Oryzias latipes: one gene and its partner. The protein of the gene in region 1 purifies or fractionates together with the protein of each later gene. This does not show direct contact. Links are inferred from orthologs where the notes say so. Each region holds a gene or a part of one and is shown on either strand. Other genes may lie near its edges.

Evidence for each region.
Region 2: the proteins of stk11 (region 1) and cops8 purify together in Homo sapiens (affinity purification with mass spectrometry; 3 studies listed by BioGRID and IntAct, with this or other methods). This does not show direct contact. The link is inferred for Oryzias latipes from reciprocal best matches to the Homo sapiens genes STK11 and COPS8.

What each region holds. Positions count from the first base shown.
Region 1 is NC_019875.2:22,742,166-22,754,644, forward strand, and holds the start of stk11 (serine/threonine-protein kinase STK11), read left to right. Parts: upstream 1-5,038; 5' UTR 5,039-5,276; intron 5,277-5,381; exon of another isoform or gene 5,382-5,615; intron 5,616-6,933; 5' UTR 6,934-7,557; coding exon 7,558-7,841; intron 7,842-11,099; coding exon 11,100-11,183; intron 11,184-11,349; coding exon 11,350-11,439; intron 11,440-11,720; coding exon 11,721-11,853; intron 11,854-12,139; coding exon 12,140-12,276; intron 12,277-12,351; coding exon 12,352-12,479. Other genes in the region: sugp1 (SURP and G-patch domain-containing protein 1), read left to right, coding at 1-78, 239-567, 672-778, 940-1,117, 1,743-1,849, 2,810-2,955, 3,363-3,492, 3,654-3,680. UniProt on the Homo sapiens protein: Tumor suppressor serine/threonine-protein kinase that controls the activity of AMP-activated protein kinase (AMPK) family members, thereby playing a role in various processes such as cell metabolism, cell polarity, apoptosis and DNA damage response.
Region 2 is NC_019879.2:1,336,370-1,348,956, reverse strand, and holds cops8 (COP9 signalosome complex subunit 8), read right to left. Parts: upstream 7,696-12,587; 5' UTR 7,636-7,695; coding exon 7,564-7,635; intron 7,160-7,563; coding exon 7,089-7,159; intron 6,602-7,088; coding exon 6,553-6,601; intron 6,295-6,552; coding exon 6,162-6,294; intron 5,369-6,161; exon of another isoform or gene 2,403-5,368; intron 2,057-2,402; coding exon 1,949-2,056; intron 1,873-1,948; coding exon 1,810-1,872; intron 1,295-1,809; coding exon 1,215-1,294; 3' UTR 202-1,214; downstream 1-201. UniProt on the Homo sapiens protein: Component of the COP9 signalosome complex (CSN), a complex involved in various cellular and developmental processes.

The DNA of each region.
Region 1 (12,479 bases):
GGCCAGGTTTGTGGCAGAGAGTGGCCCCGAGGTGGAAGCCATCGCTGCTGAGCGCAACCGAGACAACCCCGCCTTCAGGTCAGACATCTTTATGACTGTGTGTGTGTGGGTTATTTTAGTGTCGTCAGCGACTTCTCTGGTCTTAAAGGTTTAAGCTCAGTTTCTAATATGCTATTTGCTGATAGCCTTATATTATATCTGACGCCAAATATACCGTAAACCTCTTTTTCCCCCCCAGTTTTTTGTATGATAAGCAAAGTCCAGCCTACAAACTGTATAAGGAGAAACTCCGGGAGTATCGTGGCACAGCCCCTCAGAGCTCCTCACCTCCAGCAGAAAATGTCAGAGCAGACGTTCAGCAGCCAGCAGCTCCTCCATTACAAGGTTCCTCTGCTTTACGGAGCGGCATGTCTGGGCCTCCACACGAGGGCTCAGAAACGCCTCCTGTTAAACGGAAGAGAAAGAGCAGATGGGGATCGGAAGACGACAAAGTCAAGCTACCGGTTCCTCCGATCGTTGTTCCTAATGAAATTACCCCCGAAGACCCGAACACTCCCTCTCTTTCTGGTACTTACACTTACTTTGAAAGCATGATCTACACTTCAATTATAGATTTTTTGGATATTTGACTTTTACCAGTTGAAAATGAATGATTGATGCGTCTGTTTTAGCCCAGGAGCTCAGTGGCCTTGGTTATAAGAAGGGGAAGCCACTTGGTCTGGTGGGGGTGACAGAATTATCTGAGGACCAGAAAAGACAACTTAAAGAACAACAAGAGGTACAAAGACAGGCTCCATGATGTCCTGTGTTGTGTTGTGTTGTTTTTAGCTTCTCTTTTTTTTTTTTTTTCTCATGGCAAAAAGGAAAGTCCATCAAATAAGTGTTTGTTTTCAGCGGGGACAGCTCTCTGATCCTCCAGGGGTTTTGTTTTCTCCACAGATGCAGGAAATGTACGACATGATAATGAAGCACAAGCGTGCCATGGCAGAAATGCAGAACATGTGGGAGAAAGCCATAAAAGAGCACCAACATGAATACGACAGTGATGAAGAGGTCGATCAGGACGCAGGAACGTGGGAACACCAGCTTCGAAAGATGGAAATGGAGAAAACAAGGGGTAAGACCAAGAAAAATACAGAAACGCTGCTGATTCAGAAGTAAATCATTTGAACCTGTTGTGCTTCTCCTCAAATGTTTAGTCTTAATCAGGATCATTTTTTTAACTCCTCATTTGCAGCTTCTAAGGTCAGATTAGTTGGTTTTCCAATTTAGGGCCCTGTCTCTTGATTCAAGGAGCTTTGCAATTGAATTTTACAATTTCATTTAGATTTTTTTTTCAGAGACAAGCTATTTTCTGTCTCTCAGCTACAGTTTTGGGGGAGGATTTTAGAAATGGAGAGCTGGGAGAGGAGGAAAATTAGTTTAAAAAGAAAAACCAACTCATTTATTGTGTTATTGCTTTGAATGTAGTGGTTTTTTTTTTTACTATTACACATTTTTGGTTAATTTGATTTGTTTTATGTATTTTTAATTGGAGGGGGGGTTGCTAAAAATGACAGTTTGTCACGTTTTTTTTACATCTTTTTTTGGCACAGAAATCTTACAATAATCGTTGGATTTCTAATATATCTGCAGTCACATTTTGGAAGAGTAAAAATGAACATGCCCCATGAACTCATGCTTTAATAAACGCACATAACCCTTTTTTTCTGTGGTGATGAAATTGTTTTGTGCGTTTCTAGAGTGGGCAGAATCCCTGACAGAGATGGGCAAAGGAAAACATTTTATTGGTGACTTCTTGCCGCCCGAAGAGCTGGAGAAGTTCATGGAAACCTTTAAGGCCCTAAAGGTAAGTCCTCCTTTTAGTAAATGTGTTTGTGAGCCTTTGGGAGGTAATTGTGTGTAGAAAAAAAAAACAGTAAACAGTAACATATTGCATTATTGTGTAAAACATTTTAAGACGAGGCTTTAAAGAAGGAAAGATTTATTTATGAAGCTCATTTCAAAGTAAATTTCTTACAATTAAATTATATTTAGTTTTTTTATATAAAACTACTGGGTTTGGCTGTAGTTAGTTTAAAATCTTAATCATTTAGTTATTTATTTCAGTCTTGAGTATTTAAGCTAAACTTTACAGAGAAGAAGTTTCTCTAGATGTTCTCTGGGAAAATGTTGTGATGCTACAAAGGTGTGACCTAATATGCTCACATTAACTGGGATTCAATCTTATTTTTTGTAAAGACTCACTCCAATGATTTTGGTGGGTTGGGTAAAGAATAATAGATCAATGTTTGAACAAAATCAAAGATCCAGATATGAATGTGTGATTCTTATTGGATCTTCTCTGATTTGTGTTATTCATTTATTCCTTTAATGAGAGCACACAATATACAATCTCAAAAGCTAAACAAATTCCCAAACTATCTAAAATGCATTTAGCATCCAGTTGGACCTCATTAGTCGCATTTAAACAATCTCTGACAGCTGCAGAGTTGTTTTTTCTGGCAGGCCACAGGCATCTTATAGCATTAGGGCTCTAAACTAGTAATGTCAAAACAAAAAAAGCACCACAAATGTAATATATATCTATCAAAAATTCCATCAAGTATACTATTAGGACGGTTATCTCTTATTGACTGAAAGAGGTATTTAAGCTCTCAGTGGAACCATAAACACCAGGGGATTTGTGGATATGCAGATGTTTTTTTATCTGTATCTGTATCTATGCTGCATAGACAAATCCCTAAAGTTGTCCTCGCCTTCCATGCTCTGTGACATGTCTGCACACTTTTGTCTTCTCAAATTGCAGGAGGGTCGCGATCCGGACTATTCTGAGTATAAAGAGTTTAAGCTGACAGTGGAGAACCTCGGTTTCCGAATGCTCATGAAGATGGGCTGGAAGGAAGGAGAAGGCCTTGGAAGTGAAGGACAAGGAATCAAAGCTCCAGTAAACAAGTACGTCTTTATGCTTCTCAAGTTTTATGTGCGACTGACTGACCATACATACTTAAAACTCCAAGGACAGCTCAATGATTAACTAATATTTCATACCAGTTCTTAGTCAGTTTTACCTTCAATTTCACCTTCAATTTAATCCAGACATAATATTCAGTTTTTTCATGCTGTATTTTTTTTATATCTTAAATTTTTAAGGACGATAATCTAATAATCTAAATTCTGTTTCTTGTAAACTTTTACCAAATTAGTCTGTCATACATCCACACATCAGCTTCTTAGAATGAAGCTTTGTATAGTGACTTTACACACAAAATATGTCTGAAACAGCATCACCTTCCTTTCAGTTGTCAGTAAATCAGACAGAGATAAATGCGTTTTTTCTTTCTGTCTTTAATCTTTTCCAGGGGAATTACAGCCACAAATGGCGGTGGTTTCGGGGTTGACCGTCCAGCTGAGCTCACAAAAAGTGACGATGAATACGACGCTTTCCGAAAGAGGATGATGCTTGCTTACCGTTTCAGGCCAAACCCCCTGGTAACAATCTTCTGCTAAAACTTGTTTACAACTACAGAACTCTCAAAATTGTCGTTTGCTAGTTTAAATTTGCATAAAGCATTGTTCAATAGTTTACCATCTCTTAGATCTGTCCAAATATTTGCACAGAATTTAATCTACCTTTTGTGTTTCTTTTACAGAATAATCCACGACGACCGTATTATTAAAAAAGGGAGTTCTTTCTGTTTGTATCTGTAATATAAAAGCGAGTTGATGTCACTGTTTAGCTTGTTTTTGAAATGTAAACTCTTAATTTAGAACTTAAGCAATTTTAAATGTGATGTGTGAAGAAAGATAAAGTGGGAAATAATGGAAAATGCATTTTTATGTTCATTTAAAAAACTCCTTACTCTGATTGCATTGGATGGAAAGATTTTCCACTGTTTTGCTACATTTCAGATGTAAAAAAAAACGGAAGATCTGCATCGTTGGCATCACTAAGTACACTTTTTTGTGTAGTTCTTACATGGAGTGAGGTCCTCACTGTGCTGTTTTTTTTCCCATTATCTTGAGCTTTGTTAATAATGAAAACAGCAACTCACTGAAATGTAAATGTCTCACATCTTAATAAAAGTGATAAATAACAACTGTTTACTGTGAAACGAGTTTGGACTAAAGAAACCTAAACTAAAGAAACAATCGGATTCACCTGTGTGTTAAGTGCAGGTATTTCTGCAACCTTATCTATCGTTTCCTCACTTCAAATCCATGAACCTCTGAGTTAAAGTATCTTTGACTGAGACTATCAATGTAACATCCTCCAGGTTTACATGGGACAAAAATAACTACCGTACATATAGCCTTCCATCACCTATGTCATCAATCAGAGCCCACTGACATCGGAACATGATTTCATCTTTACTGTTAGAAGAAGGAAAATAGTGTGACATATCAAGAAGAGGTTTGTAATAAATGTTGCTGTTTAAAACTTGTCAACTTCCAAAACAAATAGAACAAACAGAATAATATGTATTTTTGGGTGAAAATATTTAATAAGATGGCCTAAATCTTACTCAAATTTAGGCATCTTGTTTTAATTTCTCAAGCTAACATTTTGACCCTTTTAATCTGATATTGACCAAAGGTCACTAAATATCTAATATTTTTATTTGTATTAATTATTCTTTTGCATATGCGTTCAAAAGTACCTGGTTCCTTATACATCTTTTCTTGGTTAATATTGGTTTTATTTTATTTATCTTTAAGAGTTAATGCTCGTTTGCAAATAAATAAATAAAGCTGTTTTACTTATTTTAGGGTCCCATTACAAATATTTTTATTTTTTTACTTTTTTTTTTTTTTTATGGAACAAATGTTTTGTTTTATTTATTTATTCTCTTTTTTCATGTTTTATTTTTATATCTGTGCCCTAAATCTGCAAGAATTTTTTTTTCTGTAATTGAATAAACGATCTACCTGTATAACAGGTATAAACTATTATCCAAGTCATGCATTAAATAAAAAGGATAAATCTAACAAATGATAAAAATAATAAGACCCGCCGTGAGACATTCCTAGTTGTCGCCGCTCCTGCGCCTCCGGGAAGCGGACGAAACTTTGATTTGACGCAGTAACGTTCGGCACAATCTGCGCAAGTTCGGGAGGAAGGTAAACAAGATGGCGACAACCTGAGAGGAAAGAGTATTACGAATTGTCAGAGATTATTAAGTGTTTTCTCGGAGGGGGGCTCAGAATTCCGAGCGATATTTCACTGTATAAGGACAGACGGACACTGCGGTGGAGACCGGTTCATATGGATTAAGGTAAGAGCCGGTACCGGGAGGCTGCTACTAGTGCTAGCTTGCAAAGCGACTAGCTGGCATTTTACATGGGACTCATAAGCGTCTTGCTAGCCAGCGGTTAGCCGTGCGTTAGTAGTTCCATTTTTGTTATCTGTTCGGTCTGTTTCCGGGAGTTAAATCAATCCCGGTCTGATTTTTCTTGGTGGAAAAGTATCCTGCAGTGTTGACAGGAAATTGTGTTCGCCTCTGACGAACTTTGCTAGCTGCTGTGCTGCACATCCACCGTTAGCTGCAGTTTTGTGACGACGTTTCGGTTATCTCCCTTGCCTGCATATCAGTTCTCAACTTTTACCGAAAAAGGTAATCGTTTTTACCGCTGCTTGCTTCTGTGTTTATATCGACCTAACTGGCCCGACATCTGTGTAGATCCTGAAGAATCAGCAAGTGACAGCTCGAATGGGAAAGATTGCTCATTCACTCAGCGAGAGTTGCTGACCTAGCTTAGCCGCTAACCAACCGTCCAAACTCTTTAAATGTTTACATTCAGATGTTCCTTTGTTCTAACTTTTTTTTTGGCGATAAACTTTTCAAAGTTAGAATTATGTGTAATAAAGCAGACTTTGACTCCACTCTTTACAGCGCTGTCAACTAAGTTAACCATAGCCCAAGGGGGATTTCAATTAAAAAGCTAAGTTTCTGAAGTTCTTGTGGGGAAAAAGGCGCCCGTACATTTGGAATAATAATATTTAATATAAAGTCATTTCCACCATCAATGTATTTTTTTCCCATTAAACTCTGCCTTCGTTTTGTTTTTGTTCTAATAAGTCTAATACCTGATTAAGTGCTAATTTACTGGAAAGAACTAACGTTACATGACTGTTATATTTTATTCATGGGAAATTAAACACGGAGAAAATTTATAGTTAGTTTGTTTATAATTATGGCAAAATATCACATACACAAGTGCAAATATGCTAACAGAAAAACCTGTATGATAGTTTTTTTTTTTAAATAAAATAAAAGAGAGAGACTTGTAAAGGATTGAATCCTGCACTAGAAAGAACTGTTTAACCAGTTGAAGCTTGGTCTCATTTAAAACTTTAGGAGTCTTTTTTTTCCCAAATATTTTTAGCCTTTATTTTTCTTTTTTAAATATTTTAAGTATTATTGCTTTTTGCTGTTTTTATTCAACCTCCTGTCACAAGTTCAATATTTTTGTAGGTAGTATTATAAGATATTCTGTATGTGCAATGTTTGTCAGTAAAGTTTGTTTAAAAGATATATATATATATATATATATATATATATATATATATATATATATATATATATATATATATATATATTACGTTATAACTTGATCCTTTTTTTTATAAATGCAAGAAAAAACAAAGTACTACAAAAAAATAAGTCTGCAAATATTGAACAGACCCATAATGAGAACATATTTGTAAAGGATTATTTTTGATGGCATCCCAAGAATCCCTGTCCATCGCAGATGTATTCTTATTCGATTTAGTAACAGTGGTACAAATGACTCCCTTTGGGTCTTAATGAAGGTTAACCAATCTGGTGTTGTTGTGTAAACAGCTGGATTGAAAAGTAAACTGTATAAATTGGTCTTGGGAGAAATACATTTTTGACTAGTTTTTCATTTGATACTTGACCTTTTTCCCAGGCACTAAACAGTGTTGAGATGGAGGACACCTGACACTGGACGGTTCGGTCGACCTCCCGACTGACACCAGGAATTGGACAGAGCCTGCTGCTTTTTGCCTCCAATCTGAGCTCATCCAGATATCCACCCTAGTGTGTCCCATGGAAGTTGTGCCACACAGTACGGATCTTTGACAGCAATGCCGTGCTGCCAGGTTTTGAGGGAAAAGACATTGCCTTGACCTAAAACTGTACTGTAATTAATAAATTAATAGGTGATTGAGACTAATAAAGGATTAATGTTGTAGAATTATATATTTTTAATTTTTTCTGCAAATGCACCTATAGCTTTAGTTCCTAATGCAGAGTTCTAGGCGCTAAATTGTCACAGCAGACACCCCTTCTCATTGCTCTTGAGGAAGAAGAGTCCTAATGTTTACAGATGTCCAACTGATAATCCCTCAACTCCAAGGCCTCATAATTCCCTCCTCCATTTTCAGTATTTTTCAAATTCTCCCCCTTGAATAGAAACACCTGATTTCCTGCTGACAGATTAACAGTGGATTTTACCCCAGTAGCATTAAAGCCGTTTGCAAACATTGTGTTTCACACAAGGCTAAAGGTGCAGTGTTTGAACTTTGCAGTCATGAGTGCCGGAGAGCTGCATCATCTGGACTATTTAAATGAAAATGAACTGATGGAGATGGACACTTTCATCCACCGCATTGATTCTACAGAGGTGATCTACCAGCCACGGAGGAAGAGGGCAAAGCTAATAGGAAAATACTTAATGGGGGATCTTTTAGGAGAAGGATCTTATGGCAAAGTTAAAGAAATGCTGGACTCAGAAACACTTTGTCGGAGGGCTGTTAAGATCCTGAAGAAGAAGAAACTTAGGAGGATTCCCAACGGTGAAGCCAATGTGAAGAAGTAAGTTTTATTTTATTTCATTTTATTTTTTAGTGTAATCTTGTGCTGATAATTCTCATACTTTAAAATTTAGTTAATTGAGCACCAAAACAGTTTATTGGCTTTTAACTTGTGCGAAGTGTAATGTCTTTGTTTTTAAGAGTAGATTGTGTTTTTATTTAAAGCTCTTTGAGTTGGAAAAGTGAAATTAAATAAAATTAAAATGAAATTGGATTTGATTCACAGGAAAACCCATTGGAGGCGACCACATTTCAGTATTTGTCTTTGTTTTTCTAATCTCGCTAAAGTAACTTTTAAGTTGGAAGAAAAGCTGCTGGAATATTTTTAGTTTTAGTTTTTATGAGGACAGCAGGTTTTCTACTAAATTATTTTGACAAAGCAATGCAGAAAATAGATTAGAATAATTTAGCATCTCCAAAAACTACAAATCAGACGACGGATTCGTTCATTTCTACAAACAGTTTTAGTTTTGGGATCAAATCTATTTTTTTTATTCTGTAACTGCACTCCACAGTTTTGTGACATCACTTCCTTAAAATATAACGAAGAGTTCATCTTTTCGGTGAGCAAAGTGAGCAGTATAGAATAAATTGGCAGCTCCAGATGACAATTGTGTTTATTTACTAGTGTTTATGTCCATGAATTTTTTTATTTATGTTTTTATTCATTTTAATCGTGCTCTTAATGTGAAAGAACAGCTCAGCAATTTCCTAACCTCCACTTTAGATCCATGACTTAAAGTCTGGCAGAAAACAAATATATAAATGGTATTTAAATGCACTTTGTTCAATAGGTTGTCAATTAATTAAAAATAGAAAGCATATTTGAGATCAATTAGATACCAGTTTTATTTTTTTATTTTTTAAACCTGATTGTTGTTGGGAGTTTCTGTTACTGAGATTCCACTATGAGGATCAAAATAACTTGATTCTCACATGGCTGTCAGAACTGACTAATCGCAGCTTAATCACTATTTTGCCAAATTGGATGTTCATCTTTTCTGCATCGTCTCTTCCCTGTGGAGCATTTCAGCTTTTAATTACATTACCATACTAAACTAGGAATCCAGGCTTTTGCTAATTGTTGAGATGGCTCTGGAAAATGGAATAAATGGGTTCCTTCATGAGGGGTAAAAAAGGTCTTGTGCCTGTCAAAACAGCAGGACTAGTAATTCCAGGAACAGGAACGAACTGCATAGAACTGTTTAGTTGTTGCCTCCTGAAGGATGTGCTTTAATCTCTTACTTTTAGCAAACACAAAAAAACAAGAAAATGGAATTTTATCTGTTCCACATGTCGAACAAGGGTTAAAGTTTTTACAAGAGAAAGAATTTTCTAAACTGGAAATGCTACATTGTGTTGTGGTGCTCTGCAGGTATATCACTGATGCAAAAAGGACAGGAAATGTAGTGTTTACAGGGTTTACAGCACCCTGAGCATGGTGGATAAGGGACATTATTTGTCCGCAACAACGACGCTTTCCATGTTGGCAGCAACACTTCAAGGAGATGGATCTCCAGAACAGTTACTGGAAACCAACAGCAAATTAAAAAAAAAAAATGTGTGAAGTTGGGTAATAGCCCTGCTAACCCTTCAAGCTTTACAACAAACATGCTGAAAATGAAAAACCTGTTTGATGCAGCCATGAGCACTATTTCTGGCCCTCTTTATTATGTTTTCATCCGTGACTCTAGAGTTTGTGTGTAAAGAGCAAATGTTGGAGTGAAGAGAAACAATTCTACAGCTGCACAGAAAGACCGTAAAGGGAGAAACTGAATACATTTCAAAACTGAATCTCTTTGTTGCTTTGAAAAGAGCCAATAAAAATGTGTGAGGAAGTAGATGATGATGCTGGATTACACCCCCATAGTTTTTCACAGTCTATAACGCAAGTTTTCCTGTTGCTGTGCTTATGATAGACCTTGAGAATTTTTACACTCTGTGTCTGGATGTCTCTGTCTCTGTGAGTGGATACTTTGATAACCTTAAGCTGATATTTTTCCTCTTTGGCTGCTTGGCATTCCTGTCTTCCAAACAGTTTATCTATCAGGATGGGCAAGCTCTTACTTGCAGTGATTAAGCACTGCCTTCCTAGTTTCTATGGTAACACCCCAAGAAAGGCCTTTCAGGAACGATAGAAGTGCACAGATACGCAGACACACCCTGATTGACTTGAACAGAGCACAGCTTCAGATGTTGGCGACTTGTTTATGTGTTGCTGCTGCTGTTGGTTTGGTTAGATATCGCTGAGTGTTGCAGTCCTGTCAGCGCTGCGGCCTGTAAGCGAGCAAGGTCCTTCAGTACACGTTTGAAGTGACGCCGTCTTTGCAGTCCGTGCGCCTTCTGTGCTGACATGGCCTCTGATTCCATGTTGTGGATTTCATTAGGTGTTTGGATGCACCATTTTACACATTTCCTTTTTGTTTATTGTTCAGTTAAAATTAGAGTTTTTCCCCCCACTAGTGCATGAGTTTTTATACTTTTCTGAGCACTGGTGCAGCCATGTGTCAAATTAAGACCCTTCGTTTTGCCTTTTTTAACCGTGAATTTGTAGTGAAAATGAAGTTGAGGCAAAGAAAAGCTTCTCTTTGTCTTTTACTTTTGTTTATTTTGTCTTCATTACTCCATAGTCTTTAGAACTATTTGTCTTTTGAAGGTATATGTTTTCAACAGAGGCACAAACAATATCGCTTCCCTATGTCCCTAAAGGTCACACATGTGTTATGCAGGAAGGAGAGAACGACAACGTTTTGAGCACCAAACTACAAATATTCTCACGTGTCTGGACTTGGATTTGCAATTATCCTACCCTTTCCTTTATTTCTTTTGCGTCTCTTATCAATGAGGCCACATTGTTTCATATATTTTGTAAGTATTTGATTGTCTTTTCAGTTGGTTTCAGAGTTTGATGTTGCTTTATTGTCTTTGAAGTGAAGCTCATCCTGTTCCCTGGGCTCATTTAGCAGATTCCAATTTGTGTGTTTGTTTGCTTTTTGAAGAAAAAAAAGAAATAACACACCCTCCACTGGAACAGTACTTCACCAAGTTAATCCCGTCCTCAGAACAAACAACTTACGCTAATCTTTCTGTTACTTGGCTTGTGAAAGATGTCAGCAGACTCTTGCTTGCTGCAATGTTTGCCACTTTGACCTGCAATTACTGGAAACATTTTCCAGCATTTTGTGACCCAGAATTCTTTGTTTTCATTGTTTTTAACCTAACAATGTTTTTCCTTGTCATATCTCATTTTCATTTTTAGGGAGATTCAGCTGCTAAGAAGACTCCAACACAAGAATGTGATTCAGTTGGTGGACGTACTTTACAACGAGGAGAAGCAGAAAATATATCCTCAACCTTCTTTTTTAAATGTAGACTTAATCGGATTAAAACCACAGATAAAAGAGCAAAGAAAAATAAAATAAAAATTTGTGGCTGTCAAGTTTTGCTTTAGATTGTTTTGTTTTTTTTAAAGCATCTGGTATGTTGCATTTCCTTGACTCTCGATTTACGTATATGGTGATGGAGTATTGTGTTTGTGGGATGCAAGAAATGCTGGATAGTGTTCCAGAGAAAAGATTTCCAGTGTTCCAAGCTCACGGGTGAGTTCCCTTTTCTCTCCCTTCGCTCTCCAGTCTGAGCCTCTCTTTTTTTTTTGTTATATTTAGCCTCTGGAGTCGCTCCTGCAAGTCTAAGTTTAGATCAGAGTTTGCCAAGCTTTTCTGTAAATCAAGCAGCCAGAGGTTCAGTAAATGTCTCATTGCTCTTGCAAAGCCACTTAATCTGACTTTTCAATTAATTAAGCTTTTTCTGACCACAGTATTGATTGATTGATTGATTTTTGTAAATGCTACCTTTTTTTCTCTGTTGTTGCTTTTTGCAGGTACTTTTGCCAACTTATAGATGGCCTTGAATATTTGCACAGCCAGGGAATCGTTCACAAAGACATTAAACCTGGAAATCTGCTGCTAACCACGGATGGGGCACTTAAAATCTCCGACCTTGGAGTAGCAGAGGTGATTTTGGGTTGTGTTGTTTCTGTCAGGTTTCACCTTTCGACAGCTCTGTTTGTTCTTGCCACCTGAACGTTGGCATGTGCTTGTGTAAGAAAAGGCATTTGGAAGTTTTCTGTCTGTTTAAATCTATGTAGATTATATTCAAAGAAAGATCATTTATTTTGAAAAATGATTTTTGTTCATATTCACTTAATCCACATAAAATAAATGGATTTATTTTTGTTTGGCTTAAAAGAATGACGACAAAATAGGTCAATCATTTTAAAGATATGTACATAATTTACAGGCCCTTCACCCATTTGCTGAAGATGACACGTGTCGCACGAGTCAGGGCTCTCCCGCCTTCCAGCCTCCGGAAATCGCCAATGGACTGGATACTTTTTCAGGGTTTAAAGTGGACATTTGGTCTGCTGGAGTAACACTGTGAGTGAAACTGTTTGTTTCCTTTGACTAATTGTTTATGATTCCTAACCCATCTTACTACTTCTTTTCATTCAGATATAACATTACAACAAGTCTTTATCCGTTTGAGGGAGACAATATCTATAAGCTATTTGAGAACATTGGAAAAGGAGACTACACTATTCCGGAGGACTGTGGACCTCTTCTGTCAGATCTGCTGCGAG
Region 2 (12,587 bases), on another chromosome or scaffold:
TGGCTGCTCTGCAGATCGACCGGGACATGGTCCCAGATCCCAATCTAGGACCATGTGTTTTTTGTAATCCATGTAATCCACTCCAGACTTCCAGAAGCTGAGTGAATAGTTTCTAAAGGAACTTGCAGGTTTTTGCTGAACATTTCCAGCATCAGAGCTGGGAATAACAGTTTACCAAAGCAATGCACTACGATAATCGGATACTTTTTGCTGTAACACAACAATGTTGTGATATTTACTCAATACATTTTTCACCAAACATTTACATCCTAAAATGAAGAAGTCAAGGAAAAAGAGACATGAACATTTCAGAAATGTGAAAGATGCTTCAGATTAGTCAGGAGTTACATTCTTTCAAAGGTCTACAACACCACCAGACACCTGTACTATGGACATGAGTAGAGCCGCACAATAAATCGCAAGTTTATCGCTATCGATATCAAGCTGTGCCATATGCATATCACAAAAGACGACGAAAATTGAAATAATTGGTTACCCTTAATGTGCAACAGCAAGTTTATGGCAGCTTGAAGCATGTAACCAATCAAATCAATCCATTTATGCATTTGACCAATCAGACGGACGCCTTCATGCTGTTGATCAATCGGATGGAGCTCTTATGTTAGATGTTAACCTCCTCTGTAGACGAGGGTCTACTCTTCTTTAAATGAAACTGTTGCAGTTATGTGAACGGTATGTTTTTGGTTGTTTTGCTATCTGTTCATGTTTCACAAGTTACATCATCATTGCACTACTGATCACTTGTATCGGGGTTTTCCTCATACCGTCCAGCCCCAGACATGAGACAAACGGGAAACCACCACATCTTCCTTCAGGATGAATCCTTCAGGACATTTCTTGAGTTTAGTGAAAGAACGGATGAAAACTTGCTTACGAAGATCCGAGCATTTATTCATCAACCTAAACACCAGTGAAAGCATGACGTCAGAGGGGGGGGGCTCCACACTCTCCAAACCAACCGAGGCTTTGCAGATTTACGGCCACATTGGGACTTTGATGCCGCAGAACTTGGGCCTAAATGTTTACGGCACAACAGAGAAAACAAAAGCCTTTCTGAATATTAAAGCTTGTGTTCATTGGTTGAACATAAACCCTGTGAAGAGTTCAAAGGCCAAATGAATTCATGCAGACAGGAAGAGTGGAGTGAGATCTTGCGAAGCAGACAAAGACAGGTAGGGATGTTGGGCCGGTTATCAGTTCTCCAGGAAAGCCACGTAGTCTGTGAGTCGGGCCAACTGCTGCTCATTTGGAACCAGGGACACTGGGGGAGGATCTGTGGAAACGGTGGAGAGGCTGAGTCAGAGGGGATTCCAGAGCCAGTCCAGCAGATCTCCTTCCACCTCGGATGCCCATCTTTGAACACGCGTGTGCTCACAGGATCAATGCCATCTCTTCCCACACGGCCCATGTGTTGCCTGTAGGGCCGTCAGCGCGCAGCTCTTTGGAGTTGCATGTTAAGCACTGTGACGTTAAGTGAGTCAGGCAGAAGAATCCGTGCACATGTGTGCAGCAGATGCTGACATGTGGGAAAGAGAAGCCCTTTGGGGCTGCTTCTTTAGCACTAAGGCATGATCAGAGGAATTTCAAACTAAAATAGGGCCTTAAGCTACAAATGATCAACATTTTAATTCTTTTCAAGGAGGCGGATGCAGAAAAAGTGGAAGCAGACTTTCACTTTTTATACAATGCTTAGAACATGTCAGTTTATAAATCTAAACATTTTCAGAATAAACTGATCATGGCAACAAGGACATGGAAGTCTTTTATTTTGGCAATGCTGCCCCCTACCTGGTTTTATGGGCATGACCATCCTTGTGGTGGGATCCGCCTGCCAGCCTTGACTCACTACGCCTGATTTAGGAGGAAAGACAAGAGCTGGGTAAATCAGCTGGTCCATACAAGTCCCTCCTTTCCTGTGAATTCCTACCTTTGACGGCTTCTTCCACTGAGTAACCCACAAAAGCAGCAAAGTCCTCGGCTGTGATGGAGGTGTACGCCTGTGCCACCAGGCTGTAGGCCCTTTGCCGTGTGCGCTCTGTGAGGACACATGCAGACACCTGAAGGTTTCCGCTCGAAGGCCATAGGGAGGAGGCAGCAGCCACTAGAGCGTGTGCTCGCAGAACCTCAGCAGTGGGTTTACACGTCACATTTCAGGGAAACAGAGACGAGCCACAAACCTACAGTCCACTCGGCCGGTTCGGTCACCCTGTTTCACCAGTGTGCTAAATGTAGTCCCTCCAATTGTGCACATCCTTTTTAAGCAAATGTTAAGTGAACACACAAACTAAGAAAAAAAATCTTCCTGAAACTGTCAAAGGAAGATAAAAAAAGAACCTAAAAGTCCTGTTCAAAGAACTTTGAGCGTCAGGAGGCAAGCTCACCTGTGTGCAACTGAAGACTTCTATGATGACCCCCCTTTCAACAGTAAAAAGTCCTTGGCAATACTGTCAAGGACTGCCAGCATCCACCAATACCTGCTTACTAATCCAGGTTTTTCTTCTGTGCGAGTGTTTGCACTCTGTGACCCACAGGAGTCCTGGCAGTGGCTGCAGGTCCTTACGGCGTTTCTCCGACGTGTGCAGATCCGTCATGACAGGGGCTGATGCAGCACAGGCTCCTCAGGGTCATGGCCTCCGTGTTTTATCGGCTAGCAACAGCTTGTGTGTACCCACAGCAGGCTGCAGCGTAGCAACAGACCGGAGAAGAGAAGGCGGTCCGGAAATTCCCCTAAACTAAGATGTTTCAAATAGTGACACGAAGCTTCCCGCCCTAAAGTGATGCTCCAGACCAAGCGTGTGCAGGCGTCTGTTGGCAGGGCTTCATGGTTCAGTTTAACACCCCCTGAGCTGAGAGCCAAGCGACTTTGGGGAGCTTCGATGACATAGGCCTGAGGATGTATTTTTACCTCCTTTGGGCCACTAAGGAGTTGTTTGGAGCAGCAGCTGGACCTGCCTTTCCCATCATGACCCTTTGACACTTTAAAGTTGTCCAGAAGGTGCAGAGCAAGACATGCCAGAGCACGGTGACGGGGGTTTTAGGGAGCAGAAACAGGACCTGGCGTGCCCCAGCTCAGTCTATTTAAGGGCCCTCTATCAGCTGTCAGCCTTTCACCTCTTCGAAATAACCTCAACATTTCACCAGCAAAGGCAAAGCAGAAGGGCTTTTATTTTTAACCCACTGAGACCTTCAACAAACACGCGAGTGGCGCACTTCCACATTTTGAGGAGATGTCCAACCTTTGAGGGCCATGACGGTCAAAATGAGAAAAGGGCTTTTTGAAAGAGTGCAAAAGTCACTGGAGCAGGAGCTCAGCTTCATGCAACTTTATTCCAGGCATCAGTGGACAGATTCCCAGATTTCCACAGAGTGAGACCAAGAATTTCAAATGCCATCTATTAAAATAATGTGAAGTTTTCAAAACATATCACTCTTTACTTCTCATTTCAATTTATGTGACTTTCCAATACAAAAGTATAAAAAAGACAAGAAGAAAGGAACAGAATATTACAGAGAACGTGTCAAAAAGTACATCCTTTTTCCTTTTTGAGGACGAGGTCAAAGACGAGTCTATCCACCAGATATCTGAAGAAATTTGTCTGCCTTTAAAGAAGGAATATTCTGAATATTCCTTTAAAAACAATATTGCACATATAAGGGCGTGTCATTGCAGCCCACCTGTTTGTCATACATGACCTTACATTTAATTAATAGAATATTCCTAACATATCAAAAACAAAGAAGCCTCCAAAAACATTTACAAAGTTATTTGAAACCATTTTTAGTTACTCTTCCTCCTCCTCAGCATCCTCAAAATCTTCATCATCAGCAACGCCAAAGTCCATTTTAGCTAGGAGGGTCTCCACATGCTCTGTGGACAAAGTGAAGTGGTCCATCTTCTCAAAGCCTGGCTCTGGCCGCTCCTCCCCCAGGGAGGACTTGGCTGCATCTTTGGTTTGTGTGATGAGGCCCTTGGAGAGCAGCAGGAACTCGGCCGCTCCGTTCTGCTCCAGTGCCCTGACAGCTGAATCCGTCAGCTCGGTGCTGGCCTGCAGTCGTTCCCCGTACCGCTGAGCCAGCGCTCGCAGAGCTGCCACCTTCTCGTCCTGCTCCTTCCCAATCTGCTCCAGCAAAATGGCCTTGCGCTCTTCCAGTATGGCGTACAAGAGGTCAAAGCGCTCGGCGAGCCCCTGTTTGGCGGTCTGAGCGTTGTCCTGGACGGCACGGCAGGCGTCGTCCATCTGGTTCAGCAAAGCCTGCAAGCGAGCATTACTAGCCACCAGGGTATCTATCGCGTTGCTCAGTTCACCTTTCTGGGTCTGGTACACGGTTTCTAGAGGAGCCACCTCACAGTCTTTGTGCTGGCCGAACACTTTGCACATGGAGCAGGTGGGAACCTGGCAGGTCACACAGTAGATGTTGATCCTCTCATCGTCGTGCTCCTGGCACATGGGCTCTTTGGATTCTTTGGTCTTCAGGCTGGTCTCCGTGTCGCCGCTGTTTCGACCTTCTTGCTGCTGCTTGTAGATGTCAATAATGTTCTCCACCAGCAAGTTGCGCTGGAGGCCATGAACACCATGTCGGTCGAGCACTACTTCAAAGCGGCAAGTCGGGCAGCGGAAGACTCCGCCCGAGTAGCGGTATGGGTTGCGCGAGTCGTAGAGATCACTGGCACAGCTACGGCACAGGTTGTGCTGACAAGGCAGGATCACCACGGGCTTGGTGAACATCTCCAGGCAGATGGGGCAGCTCAACTGCTTCTCAAGACTATCCATGGGGCTGGGGGGTCGAACAATGGATCCTGTCCTCTGGACATCCATAATAAGTCTCTGTTCTAAAGCCGAACAAACAAGTGTCCACACCTCCAGCAAAGTCAAAAGGCCTTGGTAAAAGGATCAGAACGGCTAGCAAAGTAGGCGATCTCGTCTCCAACAGTCAGTTCCAAGGCTACGATCTATTCTGGTCAAGAGCTTACAGCTCGGTCTTTTATAGGGGCGCCGGCAGCTGGTGACACCCGATCTTTTCCATCCTGACAACAAACATTCCTGACTGCTGGAAGGCCTAGGATCTTTTCATAGAACTGCACCACCATCCACAGCCACTTGTGTCACATGGCCCAGTGGGCACAACACTCCCTGACAGGACACCGGGACAGTGGACCGATCCGAGATAAACAAGGTGCATGTGACTAGATGTGAGGAGCACAGCCAACATCCTGCTCAGGTCTCCTGATAAACAGCAAGTCAACAGTTTGATTTTTCCAAATTCAACCTTTTCTCAGGGTTATTCATCAGTGGGTAAACATGGAAACACATTCATTCTCAGGGTTTTATATTTCAAGGGCTTATCACATAATAAAGGGCTTTGTATTCTTATACCTACTTTTAAGTATTACTTATATTTTATTATGTTTTTGGAAACAGAGCGAACTGACCAGTGAGCATTTTAAATGACAATGACTATAATTATTCTATTCTAACTTTAACAAAAAGTAAAATACACAGGATGTCAATCAAGGGCAACAATGTAAGACCATGTGAAGAACTACAGACACATCTTTCAAGTATTTTCTCTTGCAAATAATTAAATGTAGAAGACATAGTGTCCTAATACAGTAAAAACATGTAATGTGAATACTTTGGCACTGGATAAAGATCATGTTGGTGTGTGAGCCCCGTGTCCTCAGCAGATGTTACCCAAGAGTGTCATGACTGTCTGTTTTTCAGCATGAATGGCAGATCAACAGCAAGCACCATAAACACCCAGAGAAGCTATTCTTAAACTCTGGCACAAACATCACATGACAGCAACACCTCAGTCTTCAGCCCGTCAGAATAAAAGCCGTAAGAAAATCCATCCGTATCAAAAACTGAGCGTGTAAGAAAATAAGCAAATATTCCATAAAGTGGACATAAAGCATCACAATTGGCCCTTCAGCTGTCACAAAGTCCAACTGGGGTATTTCTTATCCAATGAAAATCCTGAAGTCACTTTAGCAAACCCACAAGAGGAGCTTCCTGTTCCACACCAACCCCAGAGCACAATGTATGAACAGTACTAACTTTGCCTTAATTAGTGGTTTGTAGAAGAAATGATCAGATCATCTTAAAGAACTTAAATCAAGTCCTGATTTTTGTAATTACCTCGAAGGGCCTCCATGACTGGGAGGATGTTTTCCGACCACTGGTGAGCTTCAATGGCTGAGTAGATCCCTGGAAAGTCTCTCTGCCAAATGTGCTGGCCTACGGTCCAGATCGCTGTGAGCTCGGGGTTCGCCTGAATGGATCACAGAAAGACAAGTCCATGTTCCCGCACCGTTTCATGAAGGCAGGGGCTCTAAAAACCCCTGTAGGTGGACTAACACCTGAATACGGTGCCGTTTTTAAGACAGACAAACATCAGGAGTGTCTACGACTGAAGCCAGTCAGACTATTAGCAGCATAGAAAGAGAACAGTGACATCAGTAGAAGAAGTGGAGAGCAACTGGTACTTTTCATGAAATAAAGGGGAAAAAAAGGCCTTGTGATTACTCACCGATTTGATTACTTGTGGAACTCGCTTCCATAGATACCTGGCATTGTTCCTGTTAGACGCAATTCAACAGAAAGACATAAAGAGGACATTTGAGATGAGACATGCAGCTGCAGGCAGCAAAAATGGGATTCAACCGAACACAAACAAAGCTGTACAAAATCTTAGTCTCTCTTTTTTTAAAGATAGACATGTTTTAAAGCCTTGTGGTGTGAAGAACCCTTCTGAGTGAACGCTAAAGGACTTCCCTGAACACTGGCTCTAGTTCGTCTTTCTCTTTTGTTGTCCGGTTTGAATGCAGTCAGTGCATTGCTATGCTTGAACACTTGTGAGTGTAATGATGCTGAACAACAACAACAAAAAAAGGATTAACCTCAAAGGAGGCTGGGAAAAAAAGACTTTTGAAAACCTGAAACATTCAGAAACTCTTAGAATTCTTTCTGTGGAAAATCTATTCAGAGGAAGGCCTCGTTTTTTCAAGACAAATCGATGCATCTTCCAGAGGCTCGCGGGAGCGCGCACGCGCGCGCTTCACCCACATGTCGTTGTGGAGCAGGTAGAGGGCCAGCAGCTGCGCGTACACCTGCGGGGTGGCGATGCCTCCTGGCGCCTAGCAACAGCAGAGCGGGGAGGGGCAACGGGGGAGACAGGAGAAGCGAGTTAGTCTGAGCATGCGCGGACGTTGATCTTTCCTTTCTAGTTTTGAATGTAGTAAAGCCAGAGGCTAACTGAAGACAGTTTTAACGACATTTCTACACCGGGATATCCCACAGATTGCGCTTAGAATCGACAGCAGAGCGGATCCCGCGTCTGCACACATCGCTGAGTCTTTCTGTTCGTTCTGCCAACGACGTTCCGTTAGCGACGGCTAGGAGCCGGAGCGTCCTGACAGTTACATCGGCGCTAGCTAGCATCATTAGCCTCGGCCGTGGCTAAAACAGCCGAGGCGTCGCGCTGCCGCAGACGCGTCAGCGGCCCACTTCCCCGCATCACCCGGAAGCGTCTGCTCCTCACCTCAAGCTCCTGCGCCTCGCATTGCTCCTGTAATTTATCAAAGCTTTCCTCCATAGTCACAGCTGTAGGCATGATGACGCCTAGCCGAAGCGCCGGAGCTTCTTCTGTTGTAGGGATTCAAAGTAGAGCTTCCGGGGGAGCGACACACACTGCCCCCTGCTGGACGGAGTTTAAATGTATGGCTTTCTTCCAAGAAGAAAGAAGACTGTCGTGTCATACTGCCACCATCTACAGGCGTAAAAAAATATTTTCTGTAACAACTACCCTGAACAGTTTCTCTTACAAAATCCAAGGAAACAATCCTTTCTCTTTCTGTGCTGCCAGTTTCCAAAATAACATGGAAAAAATTCAAACGAGGATTTTTTCTCATCTTGTTTCTCATAGTTGAGGTTTACCTACCTATCATGAAAATTACAGGCCTCTCATCTTTTTAGGTGGGAGAACTTGAACAATTGTTGGCTGACTAGATTCGACCTGAATTCTTGAACTATTTTAATAAGATTAAATTCAAATGATGCAAATGAACAGTTGAATGTACAGTTTTATTGCAGTAATATTTTCATTAAATAAATATGAACCAAATTGACTGTGAATTCCACATTTGAAGACTACAAATAAAATAAAAGGTCTGCCCGCAAAATAAAAGTTGATCAACAATACATTTGGGTTCCTATGAAATGTTAAGTTTTATTCACTGTTAAATGCTCAACGTGAACTTCTAGATTTAAACTGTTTGAACAGGAAAACTTAACACAAACTGTTTTCTCTTTCAGTACAAACCTCTGTACTTTTAACACACACACACACACAAACTGCCATTTTAGAAATGATTCACTACAGAAGACTGAATAAAGAACTTCCCTGCACTAATGGGATGCTGATACTGAGATCTCGATTGCAGCAGAAAGGTCAGATCTGGCTCAAAGACTGCCCCCCTAGTGACAGACCCTCAGTCCCGTCCTCACGCGGTTCTTATTTAAGTTCATAACAGAGAATGTCTTCTCTCACAAGCATGGAGCCAAACAAGCTCAGGCATTTTCACAGCGAATCTTTGCGTCTGTTTAGAGCGGCCTATATCCAGTTCCAAGAGAGCTGGTGGTAAAACTTGACCAGAGGGAGCCGGTGGCCACTAAACATGAGACGCCACATGAACGTGCAGATGCAGCAGGTCCATCAAAAACCATTGGACTGTTGAAGGCATTCAAACCAAAAATTTAAAACACAAAATAAGACTTTATGCAGATGATGTTTACTATTTACTCCTAATTCACAATCTTCCATCTGCCAAATCATCTCCCTAATTAATAGATTTTCCTCAGTTTCAGAATACTCCATAAACTGGTCTAAAAGCACAATTTTACCAATTAATTGCAATTATCTAAATCCGTCATCTATTAAAATACAAACAGGCAACATAAAGTACTTAGGTATAAATATCTCCTCTAGGCTTTCTGATCTACTCAAGCTAAACCACACCCAACTACTTAAAACAACCGAGGCTGATCTCACTAGATGGAAAACTCTACCCATTTCTCTAATCGGGAGAGTTGCAGCCATAAAAATGATGATTCTCCCAAAAATTAACTACCTATTTTCAATGATTCCTTCCAAACCTCCAACTACTTGGTTCAAATCATTAGACTCATTCATTTCCCAATACCTCTGGGAAGGTAAACCCCCACGGATTAGTTTAAAAACTATTAAAAAACCTAAAGATAGAGGAGGACTAGGCCTTCCAGACTTCCAGGACTACTACTCCGCGAACAGATTGTGTTATGTACAAAAATGGCTGAATCCTGGTGTGCTGGATGAATCCTGGCTAGACATTGAACAAAATCTCTGTGATAACCTAGATATTTCTAATTTACCTTTCTTCAGTTCTAAAATTAAACAACACAAATGCTTCAGAAGTTTAAACATCAGCTCATCCTTAACAGCCTGGTGGGATTTTCTTAAAAAAAACAACCTCACATTATTTCCATGTAAACTTACCCCCATTTGGAACAACCCTGACATTTTTATTAACAAAAACATGATTCATTTTGCTTCATGGAAGAACAAAGGAATCGAGCAGTTCCAGCATATAATTCAGAATAGAAAATTTATGTCCCTCTCAACGTTATCCTCAACCTATGGAATTAATATAAACAAATTTCTAGAATATCAGCAGCTTAAATCAGCTATAAGCACTAAATACTGCCTGACCCAAATAGACCTAGACCCTCCCCTTACAGTAACACATTTCATGGACCTTAAAAATCCCAAACTCACCTCCAAAATTTATAAGATGTTATCAGACATAGATGAAACCATTTACTTACCCATGACAAAATGGGAGTCTGAGCTATCATTGAATTCTAGTGATCAATTTTGGCTACAGATCTGTTTGAATGCCTTTAATATGACCAAAAGCCCTAATCTGCAACTTATTCAGTACAAGATTCTCCACAGAACTCACTACACCGGACAGAGGTTATTTAAAATGGGTCTCAAAGAGTCTGCTACATGCACACAGTGCATAGGTAACAACATAGACGACTATTTGCATGCCCTGTGGGTCTGTCCACCTGTCCAATCATTCTGGCGTAAGGTTTGTGAGGATTTATCAATCTGGTTTAATCATAAGATTCCTGCTTGCCCCAAATTCTGCTTATTAGGTGACCTGAATAACATCAACATGGAATCTAACAAGGCTTATATGGTTCTCACCGCTGTATGTATCGCAAAGAAAACTATCCTCCTAAACTGGAAATCTAAAAATAATCTTAGCATCAACCACTACAGAAACCTCATGTCAGAGCATATTAGTTCAGAGATAATGTCCTCCACAAAAAACCTGTCGGCTTCAGACTCTCCCTGGCTCCAGCTGGTTAGTCACATCACCTAGTGGGGGTGGGATGGTGATAGGTTGAGCCGGGTCCTGGCTGGTTGGGTGGGCCGGGGTGGGTTTGGGGGGGTGGGCTCTGCCGGGCCTGTCGTTCTCCCGGCTCGGGGCTCTGGTTGCCTGGGTGGGGTGGTGGTGGGGGCGCACACTCTGCCGGCAACTTGGCAGGGGTTCCTGGGCGGGTGCCTGCTGGGCGCAGGGTAGGCAGTGCGGCTGACCGGGAACGGCGGCCGGGTGCCGTGCTGGGTGGCTGGTCGCCGTGGCGGGGGCTGGGGGGGGGGCTTGGGGCTCTGGGGCCTGGGGTCGTCTGCCCGTGGCCGGTGTTTCGCCCGTGGCCGGTAGTTGGCGCGTGACCTGGCCCCCCGGGGGTCGGCGCCGCAGTCACAGCAGGGGTTAATGGGTTCACTTGGGTGGGTTTATTTCATTATTATTATTATTATTATTATTATATTAATTATTTTATTATTATTATTATTATTATTATTATTAGTATTAGCATTAGTATTATTATTATTATTATTATTATTACTTTTTTTTTTTTTTTTGGGGGGGGGGCCTGGGGGGGCAGGGTGCTAGTCCTTAGGGGGGCCAGGGGCTGGACCCCCTGCCCCCCCGTTCTGGCACCGGGACCCTTCCTTGCTGGCTGTCTCTCGGCGCCGCGAGGCTCTGGCCTCCAACTGCGGCTGGCTTGGCGTTTCTGGCTGCCCGGCCGCTCTGGGAGGGGGAGCGCCTACCGCGGCCGGCTGGGGGGCCGGTCGCTCGGGGGAGCCTTCTCCCCCGGTTGTGCCCATCCGCCCGCTCCTCCCCGCTCTCACCCAAACAAATATTGCACACAGGCACATAGGGCCCCGGGATCTGGATGGGAGGGGTATGCTGGCGGGGCTCACTGGGGATGCCCCTCTCTGGGTTCTCGTTGGCACCCGCCCTCCTCCCCGCTTTTTACTTGCATATTAGACACTCTGATTCATCTAGGGCCTTGTGGAGAGGGTCTGGTGGAGGGGGGCACGGTGAAACATCCGTGCTCACCTTTCGCTGGCCCCCCCACAATTTTAACTTCCTCTGTAGACACACACACTGCATGCTAGCAGCACACACACAGCAAATACACACCACTCACAGAGGGACTCCGGAGTGGGGGGCTTTGCGGCTTGGCAGCGGTGGATCCCCCCACACTGGTGACCTCCTATTTTACCTGCAGCACACACACAGCACTCCCACACCTCCATACATGGGTGGGGTCGAGGGGGGGCGGCCGGTCTTCACCCGCCTGGTCCTCTCGGGGCGGCCGGGCTTATGGGTGTCCTGTCGGCTGCGGGAGGGGTCGGGCATGCGGCGCTGGGGGTCGGCCGGCTGGGGGGGGGTTGCTGCTTGGCGGCGGGGGTAGGGAGGGTAACCAGATGATTGTGAGTATGTGTGTGTGAGTGCATGGGTAGGACCGACCTGGGGGCTGGCTCGCTGGGACCCTCTGGGGCTTTCCCTCCCCATCACAGAGAGGGGAGGGCACTGAGAGGGTTGGGGAGGGGGGGTCAGATATTATGGCGGGGGGGGGGGGTAGTGCGTAGGGTTTTTGGGGGGTGGCTGTGGCTGTGGGTGCGTGGCGATCCCTGGGTTGCTAAGGTCGCGGGCCTGGGCTGGCTTGCGGGGACGGGGCGCCGGTCGGGTGGTGGCCGGCTCTTGGGTTCCTGGGGCCCTGGCTTCGTCCCTGGCCTTTGTCTCGGTGTCCGGCGCCCGGTGGCCCCCATGGCTGCCGCCTGGTACGGCTAAGCGCTCCTGTCTTGTGGCCTGGGGGCCGGACACTGGGTTCGCTTGTGCCTCTGGGCATTGGGGGGGCCCCTGTAGGGGGGCCCTCTCTGTGCCTGGCTGGTGGGGTGGGCGGTCCCCTCCTCCTCCCCTCCCGGGCTGCCTGGGTCCGGATGCTGGGGGGGCTTCTGGCCTGGGGGGCTCTCCTCCCCTCTCCTGGTCTGGCTGGTCTGGCTGGGTAGGATCTGGCTCCCTTTATGAACACACGGTTCACGTCGGCAGCATGCATGTATCTCCACCCCCACGTGCACGTGCACACTCCACACTGCTCCCTGTCTGCTTCATCCCTCCTCCTTACCTACAGTGTATTGATGGACAGTTTTTTTTTTCTCGCTCATCT